Oryzias latipes: one gene and its partner. The protein of the gene in region 1 purifies or fractionates together with the protein of each later gene. This does not show direct contact. Links are inferred from orthologs where the notes say so. Each region holds a gene or a part of one and is shown on either strand. Other genes may lie near its edges.

Region 1 (4,565 bases):
TGGTGAGTTTTTAAGAATGTGGTGGGGGCAACATTTTTGTTCAAAGGTGCAGTAACAAAGAAAAATTACTTTTATAATTCTGGGACAGAATATTAAACCCGCAAATCATCTAAAGCTCTATGCTGTTCTGTAAGTCTTTAGATCTGTGTAAAACATGTTTGTCCCTCCCCACATACACGTATGTACCTGCTCCACCAGCCTCTGAGGAAGAAGGTCTTCTACAAACTGCTTCAAGTGTTCCTTTGCGACAGCATAATGGAAAAATGTCACTTTGCCATTGAGGACTCCAAGTATGGATGGGGTGCGGTGAGCACCGAGGTGATTGGCTAACCGTCTTTCATAGCCTACATCCACCACGCCGATCCCAACACCTGCAAAGACAAGGCATCCACGGATGATCTAAACCCATATGAGTTCATGCATGACAGGAGACCTCATCTCTAACCTAGACTCTCCATCTCCTGCACCACCTCTTTCCACACAGGCTCGATGTGGATGCAGGTGAAGCACCAATCGGAGGTGATCTTTATCAGGTAGGGCCTCTTGTAGCTGTCAGGAACCACGTCGTTGATGTAGTGGTTGAAGTGAAGGGTGTACTTGTTGTCGCCAAAGTCTCTTTGGTTCTTGTTGTTGAACGGGAAGTTAAAGAAGGACTCATCAAAGTAGAAGTTGTCATGGCGATGGCCATAATGACCGCTGCCATACGGTTGGGTGTCATCAGTCTGCCCATAACGGTCATAGTTGGCCCGTTTATCTTCACTGGACAGGATCTGGATTGGAGATGATGCACACATTTCAGGCATGACTGCTACAAATGGTCAAACCCACCTGAACCAGAACTAACCTCATAGGATTTGGTGATCTTGATGAACATATCCTCAGCGCCTGGATCTTTATTTTTGTCAGGATGCCTGAAGAAACAGAGGCTCATTTGAACTGAACATGTCAAACTGGTTAGTTGTCCCATCAAAAATATATTTACCATTCTCTTGCAAGTCGCTTGTAGACCTTTTTGATCTCAGCTGAGTTTGCACTCCTGGTCACACCTAATATTTTGTAGGGGTCCATCTCAGATGCAGCGCGAGCTGGTGGCGTCAGCAGCACCGCCAGGACCACGGCCACAGCCAGGGTCATCTTTGACCCCCCCATCGGTCCCCCTCACGACAGCGGATCAGTTCGCACCAGAAAACGCCTCTACATCGTGACACGGATTTTGGATTGCCTCCACATCTGCACAGCTGTTCCACTCAAATGATGCCAGAGCGGAAGCATCCATAATAACATGCTAACCACAAAAACACTGGCAATGCCGCCTGTGGCTATGTTGCCTTTCCTCCAGAATAAAACGCATTTTAAGGACTGCGTCTGCTCCAGTTGTTTATGTTCTCCAAAAACAAAGGTAGTCCGCCGGTTCTACGCCACATTAGGGTGGTTTTGGTCCTCTCAAGCTCCACGATGCTGGCTATCCAGAGATACACACACGGGGTATGTTCGGCCACAAATCACCAATATTCCGGGGCAAACCGCTCTAGGAAAAAAAGAGCATAGAGCTAAAAATAGTAAATGCAATAGCGTTCTGTGACATCTTAAACACCTCTGTGTTACAACTTGACGTTTTATCGAGCCGGGAATAGATTGGATTTGTGCACCGCTCTCCCCCTACAGTCACAGAGACACACCGGTACTGAAATCAAACGTACCCATGAGCTAGCCTATCACAGGCGGTGATGATGTAAACAAGGAAGTGGCTGATGGAACTTCGGGGGAAAACCAACCATAGGCATAAATATATCGAAAACAAGCTAGATGCGAAGAAGCTTTCTTTTTAACGAATTTATATCCTTAAAAACGCGCCTCTGGGTTGAATATTAAAACATTTTCGGAATTTGTTTTTGATTCTGTATTGGTAGTAAGGCGTTCGTGTGGAAGGAAATGGAAGAAAAACACAAAAGGATCCTTCGCCGAAACCGAGTTCATCTGGTAAAGGAGTTGGACCTGTCGGACCTCTGTGATGTTCTCCTTAGAAAAGACGTGTTCACCCAAAGCATGATAAACGACATAAAGGTAGGTTTCTACCACTAATGTTAGTGTCTCTTGTTTAGTGTTGTTGTTGTTGAAAAAACAAACAATTTAAAAAAATGTGTCCTGGCCGACAGAACTGTGAGACCAAACGGGACCAGGCCCGAAAATTGGTTAAGGACTTAGAGACCCGCGGGAATGAGGCGTTTTCGGCTTTTCTGGAGGGCCTTCGGGTCACGGGTCAGCAGAATCTGCTGGAGCTACTCCAGAAATCAGCTCCAAGAGTCCATTTCCAGCCTGGGAAATCCACGGAGGCGGGATACCTTCTAATCCAGCCTCATCCAGTTTGTAAGTCTGCTCTGCCAAAGTCCAGTTTGATCACTTATTTGATAGAAATAATATTTATTTGTCTTTTGTACTGTAGACATTGAAGATGCTGTTCCAAAGAAGCCCAGGACCCAACCTAGTCCACGTAAGAGAGAGAGGAGGGGTGGGGGTGTTAAAGTCCCCCATAACATTTTCATGTATTTTATTTATTTTCATAAAAACGTTCCCAGTAGTGTTCCCACAATCCCACAACCTAAATATCTTTAAACGCCATATTTCATGTTCATTCTAAACCTCTGTCTCCAAAATCTCCTCTTCATGGGCGTGGCTAGTGGTGCTGAGCGGTAGCCCCGCCCTTGATCCCGCCTTTTTGATGATGATAACTGTGTCCTGCAAGAGGGACAAGCTTGACACACTTGGGATCAATGATACTGATTGACAGTCTCTCTTCTCACAAGTTTCTCTTTAGCGATAAAGTGAAAAGTGACATTTTTGATTCCAAATCGCGCTTTCGGAACAATGACAACACGAACGTGTGTACCAGTTTAATAAAATAATAATAAAAAATGTATCATTATTATTTGCTCTGCTACACGGATCCAGAGGAAGGCTTAAGTTTAGGATTACAAGTTACGGCTAAGCTGCGTTCACACCGAACATGATTCACGCCGTACAAGCAGCAATGTGCCATCTCCTCTTCTGCCGCACCTGAGCTTGTGCACGCTGGACGGGGCAGATCAGGGAGCTTACGCAATGCCTATGCGCTCCTTGGCTATTATGACATCACAACGGCTCATTATTCAAACCGAGCGTCTCTCCGACAGTTTGATTGACAACGACTTAAAAGGAGAAATACTCAGAAATGCTAAAATGAAATGATTTAAATACATTTGCTCTGTTTCATAAGAAAAAAACACATGTACATTTAAAAACTCAAAAAACGTGATTTTCATCGGAGGGGGACTTTAAGTTCTATGTGGAACCATGTTGGATCCTTTTGTTTGTTTGTTTACCAGATTTTATACAATTTCATACAATTGAATTTCCCCAATGTGGGATCAATAAAGAATATCTTATCTTATCTTATCTTTTGTTGTTACAGCACCTGACGAGGTGTTCAAGGGGCCAGAGGTCCGACCACGACGGGACAGCATCCAGGTGAGCAGCCTTCATCATCCACATGCAGCTGTGTTTCCAGCATAATTGATCTAAATAACATATGGTGTGCTTGTGTGTCAGTACTATAAGATGGATGCCAGGCCATGCGGTCTTTGTCTTATCATAAACAACGTGGAATTTGAGCCAAAAACTGAGCTCAGCATTCGCAAAGGATCCAACGTGGACTGTGACAAGCTAGAGAAACGATTCAAGTCGCTTAACTTCGTGGTGGAAGTCCGGACAAATCTGAAACAAAGGGTGAGAGTCCTTTCTGCTTCTTCTGGGTCTGAAACGTTCTGAAAGGTAAAGATGCTCACTTGTGTCTTTCTTTCAGCAAATCAAATCTGAGCTGTCAGCTTTGTCCAGGAAGGATCATTCCATTTACGACTGCTGTGTGGTCGTCATACTCTCACATGGGACAGAGGTGAGGCGTCTCCTGTTTTTACTTTGTGTTTTTGGCGTTTTTAACATGTCGTCGTGGCATTTTTCTCATCACGGAGGACATATAGAAATAAAATTAAGCTTAGAATTGCATTACTGAGTAGTTCTTTATTCAGCTTGGTATGAATCAGTAGCAGAGGAAAAAGAAATGCTGTAGGAAAAAGCTGGCAGCAGGGATGTAGGTGCTACAATCGGTAGTCCAAAAGTTCCTGCTCCACTCCATTGCCATGCCTTCAAGACTTTGACATGGAACATGCTCACACGTTGCTTGATTACTTTTTGCTATATGCAGGTCCGCCACAACAAGATCAGATCAGCTGGGAGCTGGATAGAAATAGACCAGGTACGATAGAAAGGGAACAATTTATTATGTAGACAATTTGCCAAATGAGTGGCATTCAAGTTGATGTCCGAGGTTCTGTCAAGCACAAGGATTCCTTTGTCCTTTTCAAATAAGCAGAGGCCAAAAGGCAAATCAATGAAAGTGCAAAAAAAAAAAAACAAGACACATGCTTAAACAAACCCTGGAGACTGAAAGAAATTCTTCTCCAAATGATTGGGAAAGGAAGTTCCTTCTTTAGCAGTTCTGGATTAGATGTCAAAAGGTCAAGAAAAGGTTG
Region 2 (3,820 bases), on another chromosome or scaffold:
TACTGGAATAGTTTTTATAACTAATTGTCACCTGATCAGTGCTGCTGTGGAGGTGTTTTTGCTTTTCTGTAACTCACTGAGCTGCTAATGCTAGCAAAATGTAAAGACAAAAGCCAGAATCAGATATTCTCAACTCATCAGTTGAAATTACCCTAGAATTTGTATTTTTTTCCAGACTTTGCGTGACATCCAAACAACTGAGGCTGATTTTCAGGAAAAATGGATGCTCGATTGCCTTATTATAATGCTGATCTTTTGTGCTGTCATTGTTCTAAACTACAGCACACAATTAGTTAAAAACATCAACCACAAAGCATAAATGATTTAGCTAAATGATTTAACTTTCTGTAGACTAAACACATAGTACTTCACTGAACAGTGTCGGAGTACATTTAAGAGCTCAGCTCAATCTTGACAGTTTTCTTCATCCGTCTGGCTGTCATGCTTTTAAGGCTGTTTTTTTTTTCAGAGATAAATACTACATGACCTGGCTGGAAACTGTAATTCAATGATTGACTGATTCCTGGTTGCCTCTTGTCAGTGATTTAACAAGAGCAAAGAGACAAGAAGAGGGTTCAGAGTCATAAAGTCAACCAACAAATTGCAAGGCCTGATTGCTGCCAGCAAGGCACGGAGGATGGGGGTTGGGGGGCAAATACTAGGGAGAGGAGTGTACAAGGACAGGGTATATTTACACTGACACACCCCAATGAACCGCCTGCATGCAAACACCCAATGCAGTCCTTACAAGTGCCTCCCCTTCAAACAGTCATTTATCCAGATGATCAGATGCAGTAGCTGCCGCTGTCATTTGGACTTCAGAGGGAGTCTTGTAGTTTTAAACTTCAGACAAATTTAGCATTCATGATGCTCTTGTCACTCGCTTGTCTCGTCACACTTCCAGCGGAAAAGGAACTATGCTGTGTGCCACTTAACGGTGAGAGTTCTCTGTTGTGGGCTTGACTGCTCCTTACTTAATGTTGCTGGGACGTCACTGAGAGTGAACATTGACCACAGAAAGAAAACACTGACTTTCTGTAGAATTTGGTGAAGAGGATTCCAGTCAAAGTTTATTCTGGAATGTCCAACTTCTACGAGAGGAAAACATGTTTTTTTGACATTTTATCTCATGGTGCTATTAAATATATTTTTTAAATAATTGCTTTGTCATGTTCTTAAAAAACACGTCACAATTTTTCAAGTAACTTAATCACTGCAACATAAATCAGATTCCACCTTGATCAAACACAACTTCAGTATTTGTGATGACAAAGCAACTTGGAAGTGCTTGTTGTCTTACTGTGGCTGCTGGTTAAGGACCTTATCTATATAAGTAAGGGATAATGCCAGACGAGGTGGGCATTATCAGAAATTCTCAGCCTATTTAAGTGTCTGGGTTTCTGTTCATCCTTGTCAGGTCATCTAGTCTGTTCTGTCACTCATTTGTCATGGTTCAATTCATTAAAAGGTTTTTTTCAAGCCCGTTCTCCTGCATTTTGGGTCCTTCACCTCCAGCTCTTGATAGATAACGAATGTTTAAGCTACGTGGCTGGAACTGCTTCTTTAGTCATGCTTTATCACTGTCCATTATATAAGGGTTCATGGCGAACAAAATGTGAATTTTCAGAATGAACGCACTTTGTGGAAGCGGGCTTCCACAAAGTGCGTTCAAAGGCCATTAACCCACTTATACCATATTTACAAAATAAAAAATTATTCAACCGGTTTTTAGTACTTTATTTGTGTTATTTCTTCGGTTTGGATTACTTTTTTCACAAAAGTGGACTATTACGTGGTGCAGTGCGTCGTCACGGTAACATGACAATGCACCGCTTAGCCAGGTGATCCAGTACCGAAGTGGTATCTATGCTGATGACCACGATGTGTTGAATAAAGCATAAGTTCAGAGAGAAAGTTCACCTCTTACAGGAACTTACCGGAACTACTTTTTTAGGTGTGCGGTTATCACTGTGGATTGCAACTTTTTAATGCACACCCAGCAGCCAATAAGAATTAAGTATTCACCTGGACGATGCTATAATGGAAAATAAATGATATATACTTCTTAAACGCTGCTTTTAGACATTAGCATCCCTTTCCCCTCTCTTCCTGAATAGCTTTTGTAATCACATGAACACTGAAGACCTGTTCTGGAACATGATTCAGGCTATTCTGCACCATTCCATTCCATTCCATTTTATTTGTGCAGCCTCAATTCACAACAGTCGTCTCAATGGACTTCGTACCGGTAATGTAAGGTAAACATACAATCAAAAAGGATAATCAATGCATAGAATTCAATAGGATAATACTAAACTTTAACTAAACAGACTAAACTAAACTGGACATCCCTGCCCTCAGACCCTCCTTCGCTGTAAGGAAAATCTCCTTAAAAAAACGGAATCCGGAAAAAACGAAGAAACGTCAGGGGTGTCCACATGAAGGAGGGATCCTCCCCCAGGACGGACAGACGATTTACCAGAACTCTTAGAGAGAATTAGCTTATCTAACTCTACAACTACATATTTAAAGTCCAGCAAATGATCTTCATCCAGATGAAGACGGGGGATGGCTGGGGGCGCAAGACGAGCCGGAGACAGGATCCACAGCCAGGTGTAGGAGCAGTAGTAGAGGCGAGCCAGAGACGAGGTACACGGTCAGGGACAGGAGCACGGATGACCCAACTGGAATCTGGTGTTAAGGGACTATGAGGTCCTTAATATAGGACGGGGCGTCCTATATTAAGGAGTGATGTGATCTCATCTGCTAGTTCCTGCTAACAATCTAGCTGCTGCGTTCTGAACAAGCTGGAGACTTCTTAAGGAACTCTTAGGACAAAAGAAATCTTGGATTATTTCCATTCTCTGATATTAAGGTTGAATAGTACTGGGTTCTAGCTCTACGCAGAGCTTTTTCAAAATAATTTAATAGGCTATGTTTCCAGGTATTCAGAGACTGCGCTGAATCGGAGCTACACCATAACAGTGCCACAACAGTGAAGATCCACGTCACTACCTCAAAATAAACTGGTTATTTTTTTACCGTGCCTAATGTTAATCTCAAAAACATAAGGGACCTAAATGATGTGGATACGGACTAAGTGGACGTAAAGTGGTGGTCACAAAAATGTATTTTCAGTTCATCTTTTCTTATTTTCAGTATTCTTGTAGCAAGTCCTTACTGCAGCCCAAAGCAAGATAACATCCATCCTTGCCTCTGATTCCACTTCTCTCATTTCTAGCCCTGTCCTCAGATGCCCCCAGCAACACTCTCCTCCAGCAACAGCCTGCATCTCAACAGCCCACCCCCCTGCTCCCTGGTTCCTCAGCTCCACCAGGGGAGCTTGTTCCTCCTGTTGGCCCCGTCCCAGGGGCCCCTTCTACTGCTGTTGTTGCTGAGGAGGCACAGGCCGGAGGCAGCCGTACCATTCCGACAGCTTGTGTTCGGCCCACCCATCCACTACGGAGCTTCACCAACCCATTACTGCCACCACCCATGGGAACCATTGACCCCAAGGTGTACACTTCCATGATTTCTCAGTCTGGTGAGTAAATCAAACTATTTAAAAGTCAAACATCTTATTTATAACTGCTATGAGAGATTGGACTAAGAAAAACAAGAGCGGTTTTGATGTGATCATAGAGGTGGGGCTTTTACTTCTCTACTTTAATTCACCTTTATTGATCACGAGAAGACCCGAGTGCTCCAATTACCACAGGCACCACTGTCACCTTCATCTTCCATGCTTCTCCAGTTCCTTCCTGAGTCTGTGGTGTTTCTCCAGTTTCTCATGTTCCTTCTTCCTGGTGTTACCATCACT

What was found.
Region 2: the proteins of casp9 (region 1) and dcc purify together in Homo sapiens (co-immunoprecipitation; 3 studies listed by BioGRID and IntAct, with this or other methods). This does not show direct contact. The link is inferred for Oryzias latipes from reciprocal best matches to the Homo sapiens genes CASP9 and DCC.

The regions. Positions count from the first base shown.
Region 1 is NC_019865.2:5,965,163-5,969,727, reverse strand, and holds the start of casp9 (caspase-9), read left to right. Parts: upstream 1-1,709; 5' UTR 1,710-1,932; coding exon 1,933-2,064; intron 2,065-2,156; coding exon 2,157-2,367; intron 2,368-2,443; coding exon 2,444-2,491; intron 2,492-3,448; coding exon 3,449-3,504; intron 3,505-3,585; coding exon 3,586-3,762; intron 3,763-3,838; coding exon 3,839-3,928; intron 3,929-4,237; coding exon 4,238-4,288; intron 4,289-4,565. Other genes in the region: dnajc16 (dnaJ homolog subfamily C member 16), read right to left, coding at 187-371, 446-770, 845-911, 983-1,149. UniProt on the Homo sapiens protein: Involved in the activation cascade of caspases responsible for apoptosis execution. Binding of caspase-9 to Apaf-1 leads to activation of the protease which then cleaves and activates effector caspases caspase-3 (CASP3) or caspase-7 (CASP7).
Region 2 is NC_019870.2:29,534,463-29,538,282, reverse strand, and holds part of dcc (netrin receptor DCC), read left to right. Parts: intron 1-3,241; coding exon 3,242-3,544; intron 3,545-3,820. UniProt on the Homo sapiens protein: Receptor for netrin required for axon guidance. Mediates axon attraction of neuronal growth cones in the developing nervous system upon ligand binding. Its association with UNC5 proteins may trigger signaling for axon repulsion.